Canis lupus familiaris: one gene and its partners. The protein of the gene in region 2 binds, or shares a complex with, the protein of the main gene of each other region. Links are inferred from orthologs where the notes say so. Each region holds a gene or a part of one and is shown on either strand. Other genes may lie near its edges.

Region 1 (6,090 bases), about 54 Mb from region 2:
ACAGCCATAGGTGTTTGAGTGTTTGGGAGACCTTCAAAAATATGTGGAGCATGTAGTGGATGCTTAAAGTTCCCCACCCAGGTTTTTTTACCAGCTGGTGGGGCCATCCCCCAGCGTCTGGTTGTGGCTATTGACAACTCACAGATGCCCCCTTCACTGGGGAATTGTGCTGGGCTGCCAATAATTGACTGACATGGGGGACAGAAGGCCTGTCCCCTTGTTGTAGGATGAGGCTAATTCTGTATTTAATTTGTTCTCCAGAGCCTTGCCCCCACCCAGCCCTGCCTAGCATTAGGTGGAAGCCAGTCTCCAGCTTTGACCCCACTTCATCCTGTTCTCTTACTTTCTTTCTCCTGAGGCACCTTCCAATAAGCCACTTGAGCCAGAGTCACCTTCTCCCGCTCTGCTTATATGGAAGAAATGGAGGACAGAAAGGAAGGAGAGAGATTTACAAATCAAAGTATTTTGAATGGAAGTAGCAGATATCCTTGTTCATAAAAATCCTCTGGCCCTACCTCTGGAATGTTCATTGGCTTCCTAATTCTCATTGGTCTCTCTCATTCACTCTCTCCTCCTCACTCCTTCTTTTCCAGGTTCCCAAAAGCAGCTCCAAATGACTCTTGCTATTTCATGTAGCAATTTAGGGTTTCTCAGTTCAAGATTTCAAACTCAGCTCCAGGGGCAGCCCCGGTGGCGCAGCGGTTTAGCGCCGCCTGCAGCCCAGGGCTTGATCCTGGAGACCCTGGATCGAGTCCCACGTCAGGCTCTATGTATGGTGCCTGCTTCTCCCTCTGCCTGTGTCTCTGCCTCTCTGGCTCTATGAATAAATAAATAAAATAAAAATCTTAAAAAAATATTAAAAAAAAAAAAACTCAGCTCCAGGCCCACTTTGTAAATCAAAGCCATTTAGCAACTTGGTTGAACAAAACGAGGCTTCATTCAATGTCACTATGGCTATAATTCACAATCATTTGTGTTCCTCCACTACACATATGATCCTGTGTAAGCATAAACACAGTGCTTGATACACTGCCCTGAATGCATGACATGTATGCTCCCTGACCAATGTTTCCTCAATGCTTATGAGCATTCACCGTCTTAACAGGGTATTTAGAATAAATCTCTGGGGATCCCTGGGTGGCTCAGCGGTTTAGCGTCTGCCTTTGGCCCAGGGCGTGATCCTGGAGTCCCAGGATTGAGTCCTGCATCGGGCTCCCTGCATGGAGCCTGCTTCTGCCTCTGCCTGTGTCTCTGCCTCTGTGTGTGTGTCTTTCACGAATAAATAAATAAAATCTTAAAAAAAGTAGACTAAAACTCTGACCTGCCTATAAGGCCCTAGTGATGTGAGACGTTCCTGCTCCCTTCACCTTCTTGCCTCTGGCTCTCTTCTGCTCCCTTGCACTTCTCAGTCGTGTGGCTAAGCCCTGTATTTCTTAAATGCGGCAAGGTCTTCTTTGTCTCAGGGCCTTTGCACTGGTTGTTTCCCAGCCAAGTGCTTCCCTCATCTTCTCCTGGCTAACTCCTACTTATCCTTATGTCTCAATTCAAATCCTTCTTTCTCATAGAGGTTGCTCTGGTCTGTCACATTAGAGACCCCCTCCTACTAGTTTCTCACGGGGCATTGTGATAGTCTTTTCCATTTCTGGCACTTGTCACAGTGGTTAGTAAGCTTATTTATGTGCTTGCTTGTTTGTCTTTTCATTTGTTCCTTCCATTAGGTCTAAATCTCACGAAGGCAGGACGTCTTGTTCCCCACGGCTGGTTCAATGCTTGCTCCGTCTTGGTAAGCGCTGCTCAAAAGGGGTTTGCTGAATGAACCAAGGTCGCCCTCGCATGGCTGGCTCAACTCCTCGGGGGGCTCCCGGCCTTTCAACATCGCCCCCGGCTCTGCTTCAAGGGCGATCTTCCCCTCCCCTGCCTGCTGCACTCCAACACGCTTCCCGCCGCCCGGGCGCCACGCCTCCGACGGGCAGCCCCGGCGGTCCAGACTACAACCCCCACAATGCCCCTCAGGCACGCGCCGCAGGATTGGCTGAGCTGGCAGCGGCGGCCAATAGGACGGGGTCTTGTTGGCTTGTGCCGCACCCGAGTCCCGGGCAGCGCGGGGCGCGCAGGGAGCCGCAGCCCGGCGTCCGCCCGGTTGCTCTGGAGCCGGGTCGCGCGGCCGCCCGCCCGCTCTCCTCCTGCCATGGGGAGCACCGAGAGCTGCGAGGCCCGCAGGGTGTCCTTCGGGATGGACGAGGAGGAGCGGGTCCGGGTGCTGCAGGGCATCCGGGTGAGCGGGCCGCCGGCCGGCGCGACGAGCGAGCGCGGCCTGGGCCGGGTGGGCGTGGGGGGCGCGGGCCGGCCTGAGGGAGGGTCGGGCCGGGGGCGGGCGGGCGGGCGCGCCTCGCTCGGTGACCCTCCCGGCGCCGCGGCGGCGAGCGTCCGCCTGGGACGCGGGGCCCGAGGTCCGGGGGCTGCCCGGGGCCGCCGTCCGGGAGAGGCCGCCGTCGCAGCCCCGCTGGCCGAGGCCGAGGCCGAGAGCGGGGAGGGGAGGGGAGGGGAGGGGGCCCCCTGCACCTGTGCAGCTGCCGTTGCCGGGCGGACCCGGGCGGACCCGACTCTCCGCACTGCAGCTCTGGGCCCAGACGCCTGCAGGCGTGGACGCTCCCCGCTCACCGACGCCGCAGCCCAGGAGCAGTTAGACGTTGTGAATCAGATCACAAACCCCCCTGCTCCCCTCACCCCCGCCCCGCGGAGGCCTGGCGCTTTCCAGACCAAGAGGGGCCACCTCCCTGCCCGACCAGGCCGCCGCGTGTGGCCGCCCCTCACGCCCCGCGCCCCGCCCCGCCCCGCGCCCCGCCCCGCCCCGCGCCCCGCCCCGCGCCCCGCCCCGCGCCCCGCCCCGCGCCCCGCCCCGCGGCCTTCCGACTGCGCGGCGTTGGCCCGGGCGGCTCCAGGGGCGGCTCCAGGGGCGGCTCCAGGGGCGGCTCCAGGGGCGGCTCCAGGGGCGGCTCCTGGCGTTCACCGCTGCGTTGGCGGTTTCTACTCCCCCAGCTTTTCCTGGATCTGCCTCTTGTTGGCGGGGTGAGGATCATCCGAGCATTCTTCGGTGACCAGTCTTCTAAAGTAGCCCCCTCCCTCCGTCACACGTGGTTTTTCCTAGTAGGCGTGAGTCACCATTGGAAACTTGATTATTTATTGTGTTTCCCACCACGTGTAAGCTCCTTGAGGCTAAGCTTCATTTCTGAGTCACGACTCCATCCCCAGAACCTAGGAGAAGTCTAAAAGCAGCCCACATTTGAGTGCTTAGTGGGGACCATGGGTTCCACTGAGTCCTTTACAGGCAACCTCTCATTTACTTTTCAACAGCCCGGTGAGAGAGGTAGAACACTGTTTGCCCATTTTGCAGACTAAGGACAGATTAGACACTGAGAGATGACGTAACTCCGCCCAGGTCAACAAGAGGAAGAGCTGCGATTGAAGCAGGCCAACCCCAGGGCCTGTTGATTGAATGCTGCACTTCATGCACTTGTGCCTGGCACATTGTGGTTTGTAAATGATTGTTGGGTGGCTAAATGGATAAGCCCAGTGAAACAGCCACCAAATCCAAACAAAATGCAGAGCTGAGTATAGGCGAATTAGAGAGTAGCTCAGAAAAAGACATCAGGAGGTCTGACTCCCAGGCAGATGCTTATTAGCTATGTGGCCTTGGGTGAACAACTTCTCTTTTGAGTCTCAATGACCACATTCTTAAGAAAATTAGGGGAGGCTGTATAATCCCAGGTACTGCCTAGGATAAGATGAAGATGTATATGGAAGTGTTTAGAAGTGCTTGTGTTTTGTGATGGCCTCTGTTCTTAGTCTAGTCTAGTGCTTAGCACAGTGGGTGCTTGCTAGATGTTATCTAGTCTTGACCTGGCTCCAGAGAAGACAAAATAGGGAGCAGATGGCCCATGTTTGAAGGTTGAGAAGTAGGAGCCTGAACTGGAATTTAGAAGAACACCCTTGGCTCTGTTTGGGGGCTCTCACCTTTGTCACCTGGTATCCAGTGTTTGGGAAGTTTGGAAGGTTAGGTCAGTCAGGGTCTCCTGAGATTCAAGGGGGTCCTTTTGAAGGTGAGTTCCTCTGAGTTGACAGAAGATCATTTTGGGGGCCATCGTATCAGACTACTACATTTTGTTTCTAGTGCCCTTAACAATTCTGCAAAGTAGAAGTTCTTGTTAAAGATGGAAAGTCAGGCTTAGAGCTGTTAAAGAATTTGTTCAGAGCGTTACCTGATTGGCTGATGGGGCTTGAGTCCAGATCTTTTGAGTGCAAGAAACAGCCTTTTCTCACTACTCCAGGCTCCTTTCCTAAGTAATAGGCAAGGCAGCCTGAAAATTGTGTGTCACAGCCTCTGCCTGTTCTGACAGTACTGGTACCCCACTTGTTTTCTCCCAGAGACTGTTGAAGCTGAAGGGAGCTTTGGTGACTGAATGCTGGGCAGATTCATCAGAGAGAAGAATGACTTGCCCAGAGTATGGCCCCATACTATGAGAGCTCCTTCTTCTCCTTCTTCTCCTTCCTCTCCTTCCTCTCCTTCCTTCCTCTCCTTCCTCCCTTCCTTCCTTGCACTTTTGTGCCTGGTTTTGGGGAGGGAGATTTGAAAAAGGAAGTGATGGTAATGAAGTGTTTGGTGTAGGGGTTTTTTCTACTAGCAGAGTTACTTGAGGGTTGGAGAGTCCACCTTCTCCTTAAGCAGGCAAGTAAAAATCAGTAGAGATTGTTAGATGAGCCAAATGAGAAGTTACTTTAATAGAAGGTAGATGCCAGAGAAGAGTATCTGCCCCAGGTTCTTCAGAGAAAGTTAAATATTCTTAAAGACACTCATATTTAATCCCCAGGCCCTGATCTTGGAAAGTGCTCTAGTTTCCTTAAGATTCAGTTCTAGGGCCTTGCTACTTTGCAATTAATTTGCATAAATTTACATATTGAGTTCAAGCCCTAATTCCAAGGAAGGTAAAAGAAATTTAATTAATGCAAAATGCTGCAATTATATTCAACTGCAGTTTTCAGAGCAAGCATGTGTGAAATACATAAAGATTACTTTTTATCCAGTCTATTTAACCTCATCCTCCAATGAGAGAAGGTGCATGCATGGTCATAATGTCCTGTGTGTGCCCACTTTTCCTCTTTGCCCCATGTAAACAGCCAATATTTGGTAATGCAGATAAAGTTGGTTGCTTTTCAACATGTAGACTCACTGTTCTCCAGCCTTTTCCCCTTCCAACTGCTGCCATTCTTTCCAAGTCACTTGCTGGCCTGCTGCATGATCCTTATGTCCCCAGGCTCATTACGCTCTCAGGGCTACATCACATTTACCATTATCCATTGTTTTCCATGAGGCAAGTTTGGACCACTGCTTTAGGGGAGGACCAAGGAGGATGTAGAAAGATGCACAAGAAATAGTCCCCAAACATGCCATTGCCAGAGAAGCCCTATGCCTGAGCACTGCCCCACTAGCCCCCACTTAACCTGTCACCTCAATAAATACGAACACGTTACTTGTTAGGTACTGGGCCTGGCCTTGCAGAGACAGTAAGGGATGAACGAAGCACAAGATCCTCGCCCTCATGGAAACCTCAGCCCAGTAGCAGGAACAGACCAAAAGGAAGAAAAAGTCAAAAGAATAAAAAAGCACTGCAAGTGTGCTGAAGGAAACAAAAGTGTGCAAAGTAACGGGGACTCCCCATTGGAGGTGGGACGGCAGACACTGCCACCCTGAGGAGGGGACACTGAAGATGCACCAGAGCCAGCCGTGAGAAGTGTGGGCTGAGCTGTGTTTTCTGAGCACTAGCTCAGACCTTCCCCTCGCTGACCTTGTGAGCTGTTCTCCCCATCTCAGATAGGACACAGGTTCAAGGAGGTGAAGTAACCCAAGGTCACAGCTGGTTAGTGGTAGAGCTGGAGGCTAGACCTTCCAGCTCCACAGGCCATGTACTTGGCAGCCACACTGGGGTTGGGATGTGGAGGCTGAACAGGGGATGGACTCTGAGTGCCGGGGAAGGCTGTCTATATGTTTCCTTGGAGGCAACATTGCAAGTCTATAATTAGGAGTGGCGCTTT
Region 2 (5,557 bases):
GCAGTGCTCGTCTGCTGGGATGACTGCCCAGGAGACACCTGGCAGCAACTGGAGACGTCTGCAGCCGTCAGGACCAGGGGACAGAGTGCCACTGGCATTTCGGGGGTGGAGGCAGGGATGCTGTTCAACACCTACTGTGCCCAGGCTGAGGTAGGGCGACCTTGCCTCGCAGTGCTAAGGCCCTGATAGGACACCCACAGGGCAGTCGGGGGGCCTGGGCCGAGTGCCTGACTTCAGGCTGGGAGGAAGGGGTCGGGAGGCTTTCCAGAGGAGGCCAATGCTAAGCTGCAGGCAGGATGAGCCAGAGTCAGGAGGGAGGATGGCCTGCTGAGTGGGTGCCAAGGCCAGTGGTGAAGACCAACTGCGTTCTGGGAATGGGGCCCCTTGGAGGAGTCCGGGCTCAAGGGGAAGGCAGCAGGGAGCCATAGAGGGTTTCCGAGGAGGGCAGGGACATGTTCAGACTTGGACCTGGGAAGTGGATGGAAGGGCACAAGGCCGAGAGCCGGGGGCGGGGGGGGGGGGGCGTCAGTGCAAACAGACCTAGGGCTTGGGGAAGGCATCTCTTCAGAGCTGCTGAGGGACCCGCAGGGCCTGGAGCAGCCTGAGGCCCCAGCAGCCCTCGGGGTACGTGTGTCCGTCTGTAAGAGACGCAGCCCTGCCTGCCCTGTGCCCTCAGACAGGTGCCTCTATCTCCGCCCTTTTCCTCACCTGGAAACCACACGGCCCACCCTCGTCCTCGCTGTGCGGCTGCCTTGGGGGTGGCCAGGTGCTTCCTGAAGCCCTGCCTGCCTGCCTGCCCGGCGCCCCTGGGCCACACCTGGCCATCTCTGCTTTTTTGCAGCCCCCACGTCATGACCCCCTCCCCGGGGACACAGGCCCGTCCTGCGGGGACTGCAGTCGCTCTCGTGAGCAGCTCTACACACGGTGATCACTGAGCGGCCCCGGGAACTCCTGGCCACGCAGACAGCGGGGAGATGAACATGCCCCTCCCCAGGCCCCCAGCCCCGCAAAGCCCCCACCCTGGGCTCAGCCCTCCAGGAAGGCCGGCATCGGCACTTTCTCAACCCGTTCCTGGGCCCCTGAGCACTGTCCGTGGAGCTCCAGGGTCAATGTCTGCCCCCAGCCCCGCACCAGGTTGGAGACTCAGCAGTGGGGTCCGGACGGCAAAGGGGTTAACCAACACCTGTGGTCCAGGTCAGGCCCTGAGGAGCTGCTAGCCCAGGCCCCTTGCTCTGGGCACCAGCCGGGCCACCCCCAGCCCCCAGGGCCAGCACACGGGTCGGGGAGCATTTCCAAAGTCCTTTATTGGGCCGGCAAGGCCGGGAGCTGCCCTCGAGTGGGGTCCCAGTCCCAGTCTGGAGTCTCCAGGTCGCTGGTGCCCCTGCCCCCGTTCCTGACTGGGGCAGGTGGCCTCTGGCAGGCTACTTGATCCGCTCCTTCAGGTATTCCCAGCCGTCCCTGGAGTACTCGCGGGCCTTGGAGGGGGCCACCGACAGAGCTGACATCACCGTGAGGATCCCTGTGGAGAGGGAGGCCCCAGCGCCTTCAGCCACCGCGTCTCGCCCACCCACACCAGCCCCCCGGAAACCCGAGCTCCACAAGGCTTTGAGAGGCACCAGTTCCAGCGCCATCGGTCCCACATGGGGAAACTGAGGCGGGGGGGGGGGCAGGGCCTCATGTTGTCTGAGATCACCTGTCCTCAAAGTAGGCTCCCTCTGGCTCACCCCTCCCTGAAATCTCCACCCTCTTTAGATCCTTTAGATCCGTGGCAGGGGTGCAGGGCAGCACGGGGAGCCACGGGAAGGAGTGACCAGGAAGCAAGCGGTGGCAGGGTTGTGAGGCTGCGGTGGCAGGGGTCACCCCCCAGCACGGGGACCAGGGCCTACCTGAGTTCCAGGTGTCACGGAAGTGAAAGTTAAATTTTGGAGGGGCTGGGAGCTGGGAAGAGAGGGGAGAAGGGGCAGGTGAGAAGGGGAAGGGCCCCGCGGCCCCAGCCTCGCAGGACCGAGCCCGTGGGAGGACGCGGACACGGACACGGACACGCCGCCGGGGGCTACCTGGGGCATCTTCAGGCCGGTCTGCTCGCACACGTACTGGCTGAGCTGGTACATGGCTGGGGGCACCACCTCCTCGGCCCTCTGGAGCACAGCCTGGCTCTTGTCGCTTGGGCCCAGCAGCTCCTGGTCGTACACCAGGTAGACCGCACCCCCGGCCACGCTGCCCTTGATGAGGAACCTGCGGTGGTGGGGGGGGGGGAGGCAGGGCGGCGGCTCAGCAGCTCCCCGGCACTGCCGGCAGCCCCGGGCTCCTGGCCCACGCGGGGCGCCTGGGTCCGGGGAGTGACACAGCGAGGCCGGGCAGCGGACACGGAAGAACAAGGAGGCGGCCGGGCACCGCCTGGCACAACGCTCCCCTCACTGCACAGAGCACAGCCCCTCGGCCCCGTTTAACAGGTAAACTGAGGCCCACTCGTGATCCGCACACGGCGCGGCGAGGGAAGGCCTAGACCCCCGGCCTTGTGCCTCGCGGGGTCCCGCGCGGCCCTGGGCGCTCCTTGGACGTCGCGCGTCGCCCCGGGCACCCGGGGTCTTGGCGCAGCGCGGGCGGCACTCCCGCCGTCCAGGGGAGGCACCTGCGGCCCCGGATCGCGGGAGGCCCCTCCCCTCCTGACCCTCAGGTCAGGCCGAGGCGGGACCCGACGCCACGGAACTCCAAGACCCAGCCGGAAGCAAACCCGGCGGGGGGTGCCCACGGGAGGGGCTTTCTCGGGGGCTCGGAGCCCGCCCCGCCGCCCCACGCACCTCATCAGCGACCACACTCGGGGCACCATGGTCGCTCGGCTCCGCGCGCAAGGACACTCGACTCGCCCGCCGCTTCCGGTGACTGCGCCGCAGAGGCCTCTGGGAAACGTAGTCGCCCGACTCAGCCGCAAAGGCCTGTGAGAGTCGAAGTCGCGCGGCGGCCGCAAAACGCCGGAGAGGCTCCGCAGCCCTCCAGCGAAAGGATTCTGAGAAGTGTAATCTTCAGAGCCCGGACGCCGCAAGGCTGCCTGGGAAATGGAGTCAGGACCAACCCCCGTGAGGCGCCGGACGGCTCGCCCAGCCGCCGAGACTGCTGGGAGATGTAGTCCGGTCTGGCGCGGCTCCGGCGGCGTGCGAGGAAAAGAGGAGTCGGGCGTCTAGACTGAGGCCCGACAGTGGCCCAAGAAGGCGTCGGAGTCCGGGAGATCCACCCGCGCCCGCGCGGGGGACCGAGGGCCCCGGCCCAGGGCGAGTGTGCCAATAAGATGGTTGGTTGTCACGGCAACGCGAGGTCGGAATTGTGCGTGGGAGGCGGGCCCTCGGTCACGTGCCTGCCTCGGGGGCGGGGCTTTCGTCCAGGGGGCGGGCCCAGGACCACGGCGGGGCGAGGGCGAGCCGGGCGGAAGGCCGTTGCCGGGCAACGCCCGGGCGCCGCGCTCCCCCGCCAGGCCCCGCCCCCTGCGGAGGTGGGCTCGGTGTCACGTGACCCGGACCCTACGGGAGGGGGCGCGGTCGGGGGCCCGGCGGAGCCGGCAGCGTAGGGAGGTGCGAGTCCGAGGGGTGCGCGCCGGGCTCCCAGGCCCGGACCCCAGCCCCGCTGGACGGCGGGAGAAACTGAGGCCCGAGTGGGTGAGTACGAGGTTGGGAGCGCGCGGCACGTCGCACGCCCTTTTTGTCCAGAGGGGAAACTGAGGCTCTGTGAGGTCAGGGGACCAGTGCGTTCTGCGAGGGTCTGGTTCTCCCAATTCCGTCCCCATGGGACGCCGGCCGGCTGCTCCGTCCATCCATCCACCCACCCATCCACCCAGACGGCCAGCCGGCCGCCCGCCCCCGCCCCCGCCCCCGCCGCGTGGCTGCTGTGGTCAGGGTGGAAGAGGGTCAAGTTGCGGGACTTCACGGGCGTCCCCTGGAAAGCGGGGAGAGGTGGGATGGCTGCCGTGACTGGGGAAGGGCGAGGACTTCACTCTTCGGAGAGCTGAGAAAGAGTCACAGACAGGAACCCGGCAAGATGAGAAGGGACAGGTGGGCCAGGGCCGGGCCCGCGGCGCATTGTGGGCCGGGGTGAGGAGCTCGGTCTCCACGAGGGGCAGTGGCGAGCCCTGAGAGGGTTTGCAGCAGCAAGGGGCAGTCACATTTCTTTGGGTAAATATGTCTTGGGCTGCCCGGAGAGCATAGGGTGCGGAGGAGGGAGTGGGAGGGTGGGGGAGGCAGGGGGAGGCAGCTGGAAGTTGGCAGTAGGTCGAAGGATCTAGACATCTCAGAGCTGAGGGCACCCCAGCCCCACCATCTCTCAGTTCTACAGTTCTACCCCTACTGCGTTCAGAGAACAGAAACCCCAGGATGTGACGGGCCTGTGCCTTCCTTGGGGGAAGATTCGTGCCCCCCTGAATCGTGAAGTCCTTGGCCTGTTTCTCTCTTTCACCTTCTCCCCGGAACAAGTAAATCCACTCCCACAGCTCAAGTCACATCTTAACCGTGACGACACAGGCTCCTTCCTGGTGTCTCCAGAGTCATCTCTCCGGGTCCCCCCAGCTGTCACTTCCAATGTTCGTCACATCACTCAGGGCCAGTCTCGTGTCTGTCGAGCATCTGCTCCATGTCTGGCAGTTTGGGGGCCACTGAGGACCCAACAGCGAACAAAGCAGAAGCAAGTTTCCGTTTCCTTCCTGCCTCGTGGAGCTGACGCTCTAAGAGGAGAGAGGGACAGGGAGCATGTAACAGATCATCAGGATGATTTCAGATCATGGCAAGTGCTGAGAGCGTGGAAGTTTTAGAGGCAAGAGGAGGGAGAGGGACCAGGAGGTACTTTAGGAAAGGAGGCCAGGGGGTTTTCCTTGGAGAAGGTCAGTTTTGTGCTGACTTCAGAGAAGTGAGAGAGCAACTCATTGGGTTATATTTGGGAAGAGCATTTCGGGCAGAGGGAGTAGCCAATGCAAAGGCCCTGAGGCAGGATGGAGTCTGGCTCCTTCTAAGGAATGCTGAAGAGGCGCTGTTTTGGCAAACAGAGCAAGAGGGGCTGGTCCTCGTGGGGCCTTTTTGAGCATCAAGGAGCCTGGCTTTTGTCCTAAATGAGATGGGGAGGGTTTTCAGCAGGGGGAGGTAAGATGTAATTTGGCTGCTTCTAGGAGGGAGAACAACCTGAAGAGGCGAGGGGAAGCTATATGACCTGGACCAGGTGCTGGCTGCGGAGATGGAGGAGAGAGGGCAGGGCCTGGAGGGAGCATCGTCAGCAAACAAAGGCCCAGCTGGGGAAATGGGGGTGGCTGTGGGCCAGGCTGTGCGCCAGGCTGTGCCTGCCATCCTCTCTCCCGCTGCAGACCCTGCAGACTCAGAGCCGGCCATGAAGGTTCTGCTCCTCACGGGGCTGGGAGCCCTGTTCTTCTCCTACTACTGGGATGACAACTTTGACCCTGGTGAGTGCCTGGAGGTGGGGGAGGGACGAATTGGGCCCCCCATCCGGGGCATCCCCAGCATTGACCACGGTGCACACTGCTAGCCAGCCTCCAGGGAGCCCGGGTGCTGCTGACCGGGGCCAG
Region 3 (5,770 bases), on a different chromosome or scaffold from region 2:
AACCAACTGAGGAGAGTCATATCCTTTAATTCTTCTGGGTTTTAGGGTATGTAAGTGGGTGATGAGCTTTGACTACTATCATTGCTTTCTTAATCTCCCACCTAAGATGGCTAAATTGAGCCTTAAACATATTCTCATGTATTGAAAAAGTACTGAGACATTTCACAAATACTCTTTGAATTGATAATGGAAGTCCTTGCACATTTTTGAACAGAGGAATGATTTAAATTTGTATGTTACTTTGGGGGAGTCCACTTCAAAGCAAAAAAAAAAATCCATAAATTGCACGTGGAGGATGAAGATTAAGGATTTGGTTAAATGGGAGATGAGGAAACAACAAAAATTAATTTTGGAGCTTGAGATTTGGAAGCTGAAGTTGGTAACGATGTTCAGGCCCAGGATGTGGCTGGGCCACACACGGTTAGGGTAGATTTTTTTTTTTTTTTAATTTATGATAGTCACAGAGAGAGAGGCAGAGACACAGGCAGAGGGAGAAGCAGGCTCCATGCACCGGGAGCCCGACGTGGGATTCGATCCCGGGTCTCCAGGATCGCGCCCTGGGCCAAAGGCAGGCGCTAAACCGCTGCGCCACCCAGGGATCCCGGTTAGGGTAGATTTAAATTGCTTATTTGATATTGAGAGGTTTATGGCCAAGATATTAGAAAACTCATTACACTGGCATCACCCCGTATAACAGAACAGCAGTGGGCAGGGACGGGGGGTGGGTGGGAGGGGTTGGGGAGACTGCAATTTAATGCTAAAACTACTTTTAAAAACGGGAGACTGCTTTGGGGGCTGTTAGGTGATGGGGATATGAAATTAGAGAGCGTAACGTAATTTTTAAAGCACCCTGAAAAGCAATGAATATATACGGACATAAGTATTTGATTTTAGGTAATTTTCAAATTCCTTTCTCCATTTTACAAGTGGGATTAGTATCATACTGTGATACCACCATATTGTAAAACACCGTAACTCTAGGAACACCATGCTGTGATAAATAGCCTAGTTAAGACCTAAAAGCACTTAGCAAATGCAACGGATATACACGTTATTCAGTTTCTTTTGATATTGTGATGGTACGATCATTATTAGTAATAACAGTATTGAATACTGTGTTCAATATTTAACATACTAAATCTTGGTTACAGACTCCGTGGAATACTCTGAAGAGTTTTTCTACACTGATCTCCTTAACTTCCGACGCATTCCATCAAAATTATCTTTGTAAAAGGAAAACGTAGTGGGAAAATAAGTGTGGCTTAAATCTAGGAGTAGAAGCGGTGGAACCCGAAGGATGTGGGTTTCTATCCCTGCTCTGCCATTTATTAGATGCGCGAACAACGCGTTCCGCACAAAGGTCTCTCCAGTGTTCGTCCTCCCAATCTCCCATAATCAGGATGACTCCCTGAAGAAAGGCTGTCAAAGCAAACAAACACGCAAACCAAAACACCATTGTTTACGTAACTTTCGCCAAACCGTCTGCTTTCTACGAAATACCCAGCTGACAAATGCGGCCGGGATGTTTTTTTCCTTGAATTCTTCGACGAATAACATCTTCTATCCGCACTGATCAAAGCCCGAGTTTCGCGCTTCCTCTCACCCTCCGGGTTCACCTACTAACCCCTTCTGGCGGATACAGACCAGAACTCCGAAGGCGACCCGGAAGGAGAAATAGCCTTTTCCGCCCGGGGTCGGTGCGGGGGGGGGGCGCCTCTCCGGGCGGCCTGGGCGGGGTCGAGAAAGGGGGCTGCGCGTGCGCAGCGGCGTTTGTTGCCCTTCCGGTAGGACCGGCGCGGAGAGGCGGCACGGACGCAGGGACGTACGCACGCTCTCCCTTACTAACGCCTCCGCGGCAGCTCCCTCGTACGCCAGCCGTGCCCAAGCCCGGCCGAAATGCTGCGGGCCTGTCAGTTATCGGGTGTGACCGCCGCCGCCCAGGTGAGCGCGGGGGCGCTGGGAGAGCGCGTGGTGAGGCGGACTCCGGCCAACCAACGGAAAATGGGAGAGGCTTTCGCTCTGACTAGGCCCCGGGAGAGAGGCGTGTTTCGCGGCCGCCCTCATCGCGGGAGTCCTGGGCCGACCCGTGAAGCAGTTGATTAGGGGGTTCGCCCGACTGGGATGATTTGAGGGTTATTGCTGTAAGCGGGATGGGGTGTGGAGAGAAGGTGGTGGGGAGGCGGGCGCAGGACCGTCAGCGCGGCTTCGGGGACGCGTCGTCCAATCAGCGGCGCGCTGCCCCAGGCAGGGACCAATAGTGGCTCTGGCGCTCGGGTTGCCGGTTGGGCTCGTGATAGGTTTCGCGCAGCCAGTGGTTGAAGGTCGCGGGGAGAACTACAGTTCCCAGCAGGAAACGCCTATAGCCTTGGCTTGTTGCATCTTTAATAAGGAGGTGTTGGGACTGTTAGAGTCCACATTTTAGGGGTCAAGGTTGTAATTACTCGGGAAGGACCTTCTTTTTTGCAGCTTAGAGAGCCTCTGAGGTATTCTTACTCTAGACAAAAAATGAGAGATTGTAGTTTATGAAGTAAAAACTCTGGGTACTGAGGAAGAACAGGAGTCATGACCTTGTGCTCATTTCTGAGGTTAGCTTGGGGATGTATTTCTCCAGGTGCTGGGACAACTTTGGCAGACATCCAGGAAGCCTAGACACCCAGTGACTTACATCTGCACGCTTGTCAAAGTACTTTTCTAAAGTTGGAAATAAACTTCTATTTCTATTGTTCACAGTTTTCAGAATTATTGATATGTTGGAAGATGTATTGCACACCAAGCAGCAATTGAACAAAATCTCTAGTCAGAGTGAGTGAGAAATCATGTCAGGCTTTTTTTTTTTTTCCTTCAAGTTTGCTTGTCTCCCTACTTGTTGCCAGGATAGAAGCAGCTTTTGTAGGCAAGTAGGGTCTGTATTAGTTCTTTTTTGATGCATAACAGGTGTCACACACTTAGCAGCTTAAAACCGCACCCATTTATTCTTAGACTTTCTGGTTATGAATGGTCTGGATTCTTTGTTCGGTGCCGCACAAGGTTGCAGTTGAGGCATTGACTGCTGTGGTGCTCATCTGGACCTCAGAGTCCTCTTCCAAGTTCATTTTGGCAGAATTCAGTCCCTTGCACCTGAGGAACCGAAGTCCCTGTTTTCTTTCCTGCTGTCACCTAACTCTCTTAGAGTTTGCTCCAAGTGTGTTGCTCAGTGACATGGATGTTTGCTTTCTTGTAGGCTACCAGGAGCTTATCTCTTTGACTTCAGAAGTCTCTCTTAACTTTCCTGTTTTTGATCTCTAGATCAGCATGTAAAAGGCTTTAAGATTAGCCTGGCCCACCTGGAAAACCTCCCTTTTGATTAACTCAGAGTCACCTGATGAGTTACACACCTGCAAAATCCCTTTTGTCTTGCAACCCTAATCATGGGCTTAACAGGGTGGAAATTGTGTGGGCCATCTTAGAATCCCTCCTAATGTAGTACCCAAGTGGGACTAGAACTCTTTGAGTGCAGAACTCTTGGTTTGTCTTCAGAGCTCTCCTTTCATGGAACACTCTTGTTCTGCCCTCAGATTATGTCATGGCTGTCACCAATCTCCTTGTCTGCCATAAAATCTAAAATTTTTCTACTTTTTCCTTCCTTGTCTTGATGAAAACGCTTTCTACTTATTGGGATTCCAATTAGGAAGTTAGAAGAAAACATTAAAGCTTCACACTAAAATATGAACCCTTTTCTAGCTTGCATCCGCATTTTCTTAGGGTCTCGAAATTGCGATCTTGTAAAAATTCATTGGTTTCTTCTCATTTTGTAGCATTTGATATTGTTGCTTTGTGAAGCTGTTTTTGCTTTCTGGCTTTTCTTATGTAGTATCTAGGGGCTCTTTATCTTTCTCCTTTTTCCTTTATTGAATCTGCTACTTGTACCTCGAAATATATCCCCAAGGTCTGACCTCTCTTCCCATCTCTCTCTTTTTAATTAAGACTTTTTATTTTTTATATTTTGAAGATTTTATTTATTTATTCATGAGAGACAGAGAGAGAGAGAGGGGCAGAGACCTAGGCAGAGGGAGAAGCAGGCTCCATGCAGGGAGCCCAATGTGGGACTCGGTTCCGGGACTCCAGGATCAGGCCCTGGGCTGAGGGCAGGCGCTAAACCGCTGAGCCACCCAGGGATCCCCTAACTAAGACTTTTTAAAGAGCAGTTTTAGCTTTGCAGCAAAATTGAGGGGAAGGTAGAGATGTTCTGCCCCCACACATGCTTGCTTACCTTCCACCATTATCAACATCCCCCACCAGAGTGGTGCATTTATTACAGTTGATTAACTTACATGGGCATATCATAATCACCCAAAGCCCATAGTTTACATTGGGGCTCACTTTTGGTGTTGTACATTGTCTGGGTTTGGACAAATGTATGATGACATATGTCAGTCGTTACTGGTATCTTACAGAGTATTTTCACTGCCTTAAAAATCCTCTATTCTCCACTTACTCATCACTTTCTTTCCTCTCCTCGCAACCACTGATCTTTTTATTAACTCTTTAGTTTTGCCTTTCCAAAACGTCATATAGATGGAATCATACAGCGTGTAGCCTTCTCACATTGGCTTCAGTCGCTTCATAATGTGCATTTAACTTTCTTCCATGTCTCTTCATGGCTTGACAGCCTTCTTTTTTTTCTTTTCTTTAAGCATTGACTAATATTCCATTGTCTGGATGTACCACAATTTACCCATTCACCTACTGAAGGATGTCTTTGTTGCTTCCAAGTTTTAGCAGTTGTGAGTGAAGCTGGTCTAAATATTTCATGTGTAGGGTTTTGTGTGAACATGTTTTCAGCTCTTGGGTAAATACTGAGGTGCATGATTGCTGTATTATATGTTTAGTTTTTGTAAAAAAAAGTGTCAAACTGTCTTTCAGAGTGGCTGTACCTTTTGCATTGCTAGCAGTGATGAATGGGAGTTCTTGTTGTCCTACATCCTCATCAGCGTTTGGTGTTGTCAGTCTTAGGGACTTTGGCCATTCTGATGTATGTGATAATCTCATTGTTGCCCCATCTCTTTATATACTGTTACTTGGGATTATATCAATTCTCAGAACTTTCATCCCCAGCAGATGGTTCTTTAGATTCTTTTGAGCTTTCTAGTCAAATTTTCTTTTCCTTGTTTGATTTTGTCAACTTTATCCAGAATATTCTACTTGTCAAAATCTTTTCCATTCTGTCAAGCTTCATCTTCTTTGATGTTTTCCTGCTTTACTATTGCCCTTTTAGAGTCTTCTGGAATTTTTTTTTTCATTAGGATTGTAAAAACTGTTACTCATTACTCAGCAGTAATGTCTGCCAAGTATACATGGTAGAAAGTACTTTAATATATCATTGCTCTTTGCTTTTATTGGTGTTAGATCATTTTTTATTATTCCTTATTTTCATCTTTTTAGGCCAGTGGCTTTCAAGCCATTTTGGAATATTTACATCGTAACTTAAGACATGCAAGTGGGAATATATGAGTAATATATATTCATACATGTATGGAGGGAAAACTAAAGTATTAAGTTCCTTCTTTTGCCATATTTAATACTTGCCATTTGCTTGTTGTAACTGAAGGGTACGTTTTCTAAGATAGAGATCTGTGTCTTTCTTTCTTTTTTTTTTTTTTTTTTTTAAGATCTGTGTCTTTCTTGAGAGATAATACTGCTTCAATGCCAAACTTCCTGGATTTTTTTTTTTTTGTGTGTGTGTATATATAAACATATATATGTATATATATTCTTTTTTAAAGATTTATTT

The links. Proteins that work in one complex are often made in the same cells at the same time.
Region 1: MICOS13 (region 2) and CHCHD6 share a complex: the UniProt entries of both Homo sapiens proteins name them as parts of the mitochondrial contact site and cristae organizing system (MICOS) complex. The link is inferred for Canis lupus familiaris from reciprocal best matches to the Homo sapiens genes MICOS13 and CHCHD6.
Region 3: MICOS13 (region 2) and IMMT share a complex: the UniProt entries of both Homo sapiens proteins name them as parts of the mitochondrial contact site and cristae organizing system (MICOS) complex. The link is inferred for Canis lupus familiaris from reciprocal best matches to the Homo sapiens genes MICOS13 and IMMT.

The regions. Positions count from the first base shown.
Region 1 is NC_049241.1:896,411-902,500, forward strand, and holds the start of CHCHD6 (MICOS complex subunit MIC25), read left to right. Parts: upstream 1-2,088; 5' UTR 2,089-2,188; coding exon 2,189-2,275; intron 2,276-6,090. UniProt on the Homo sapiens protein: Component of the MICOS complex, a large protein complex of the mitochondrial inner membrane that plays crucial roles in the maintenance of crista junctions, inner membrane architecture, and formation of contact sites to the outer membrane.
Region 2 is NC_049241.1:54,735,162-54,740,718, reverse strand, and holds MICOS13 (MICOS complex subunit MIC13), read right to left. Parts: upstream 3,324-5,557; 5' UTR 2,831-3,323; coding exon 2,802-2,830; intron 2,236-2,801; coding exon 2,058-2,235; intron 1,939-2,057; coding exon 1,887-1,938; intron 1,520-1,886; coding exon 1,422-1,519; 3' UTR 1,285-1,421; downstream 1-1,284. Other genes in the region: HSD11B1L (hydroxysteroid 11-beta-dehydrogenase 1-like protein), read left to right, coding at 5,417-5,434, 5,522-5,557. UniProt on the Homo sapiens protein: Component of the MICOS complex, a large protein complex of the mitochondrial inner membrane that plays crucial roles in the maintenance of crista junctions, inner membrane architecture, and formation of contact sites to the outer membrane.
Region 3 is NC_049238.1:39,249,370-39,255,139, forward strand, and holds the start of IMMT (MICOS complex subunit MIC60), read left to right. Parts: upstream 1-1,768; 5' UTR 1,769-1,896; coding exon 1,897-1,941; intron 1,942-5,770. UniProt on the Homo sapiens protein: Component of the MICOS complex, a large protein complex of the mitochondrial inner membrane that plays crucial roles in the maintenance of crista junctions, inner membrane architecture, and formation of contact sites to the outer membrane.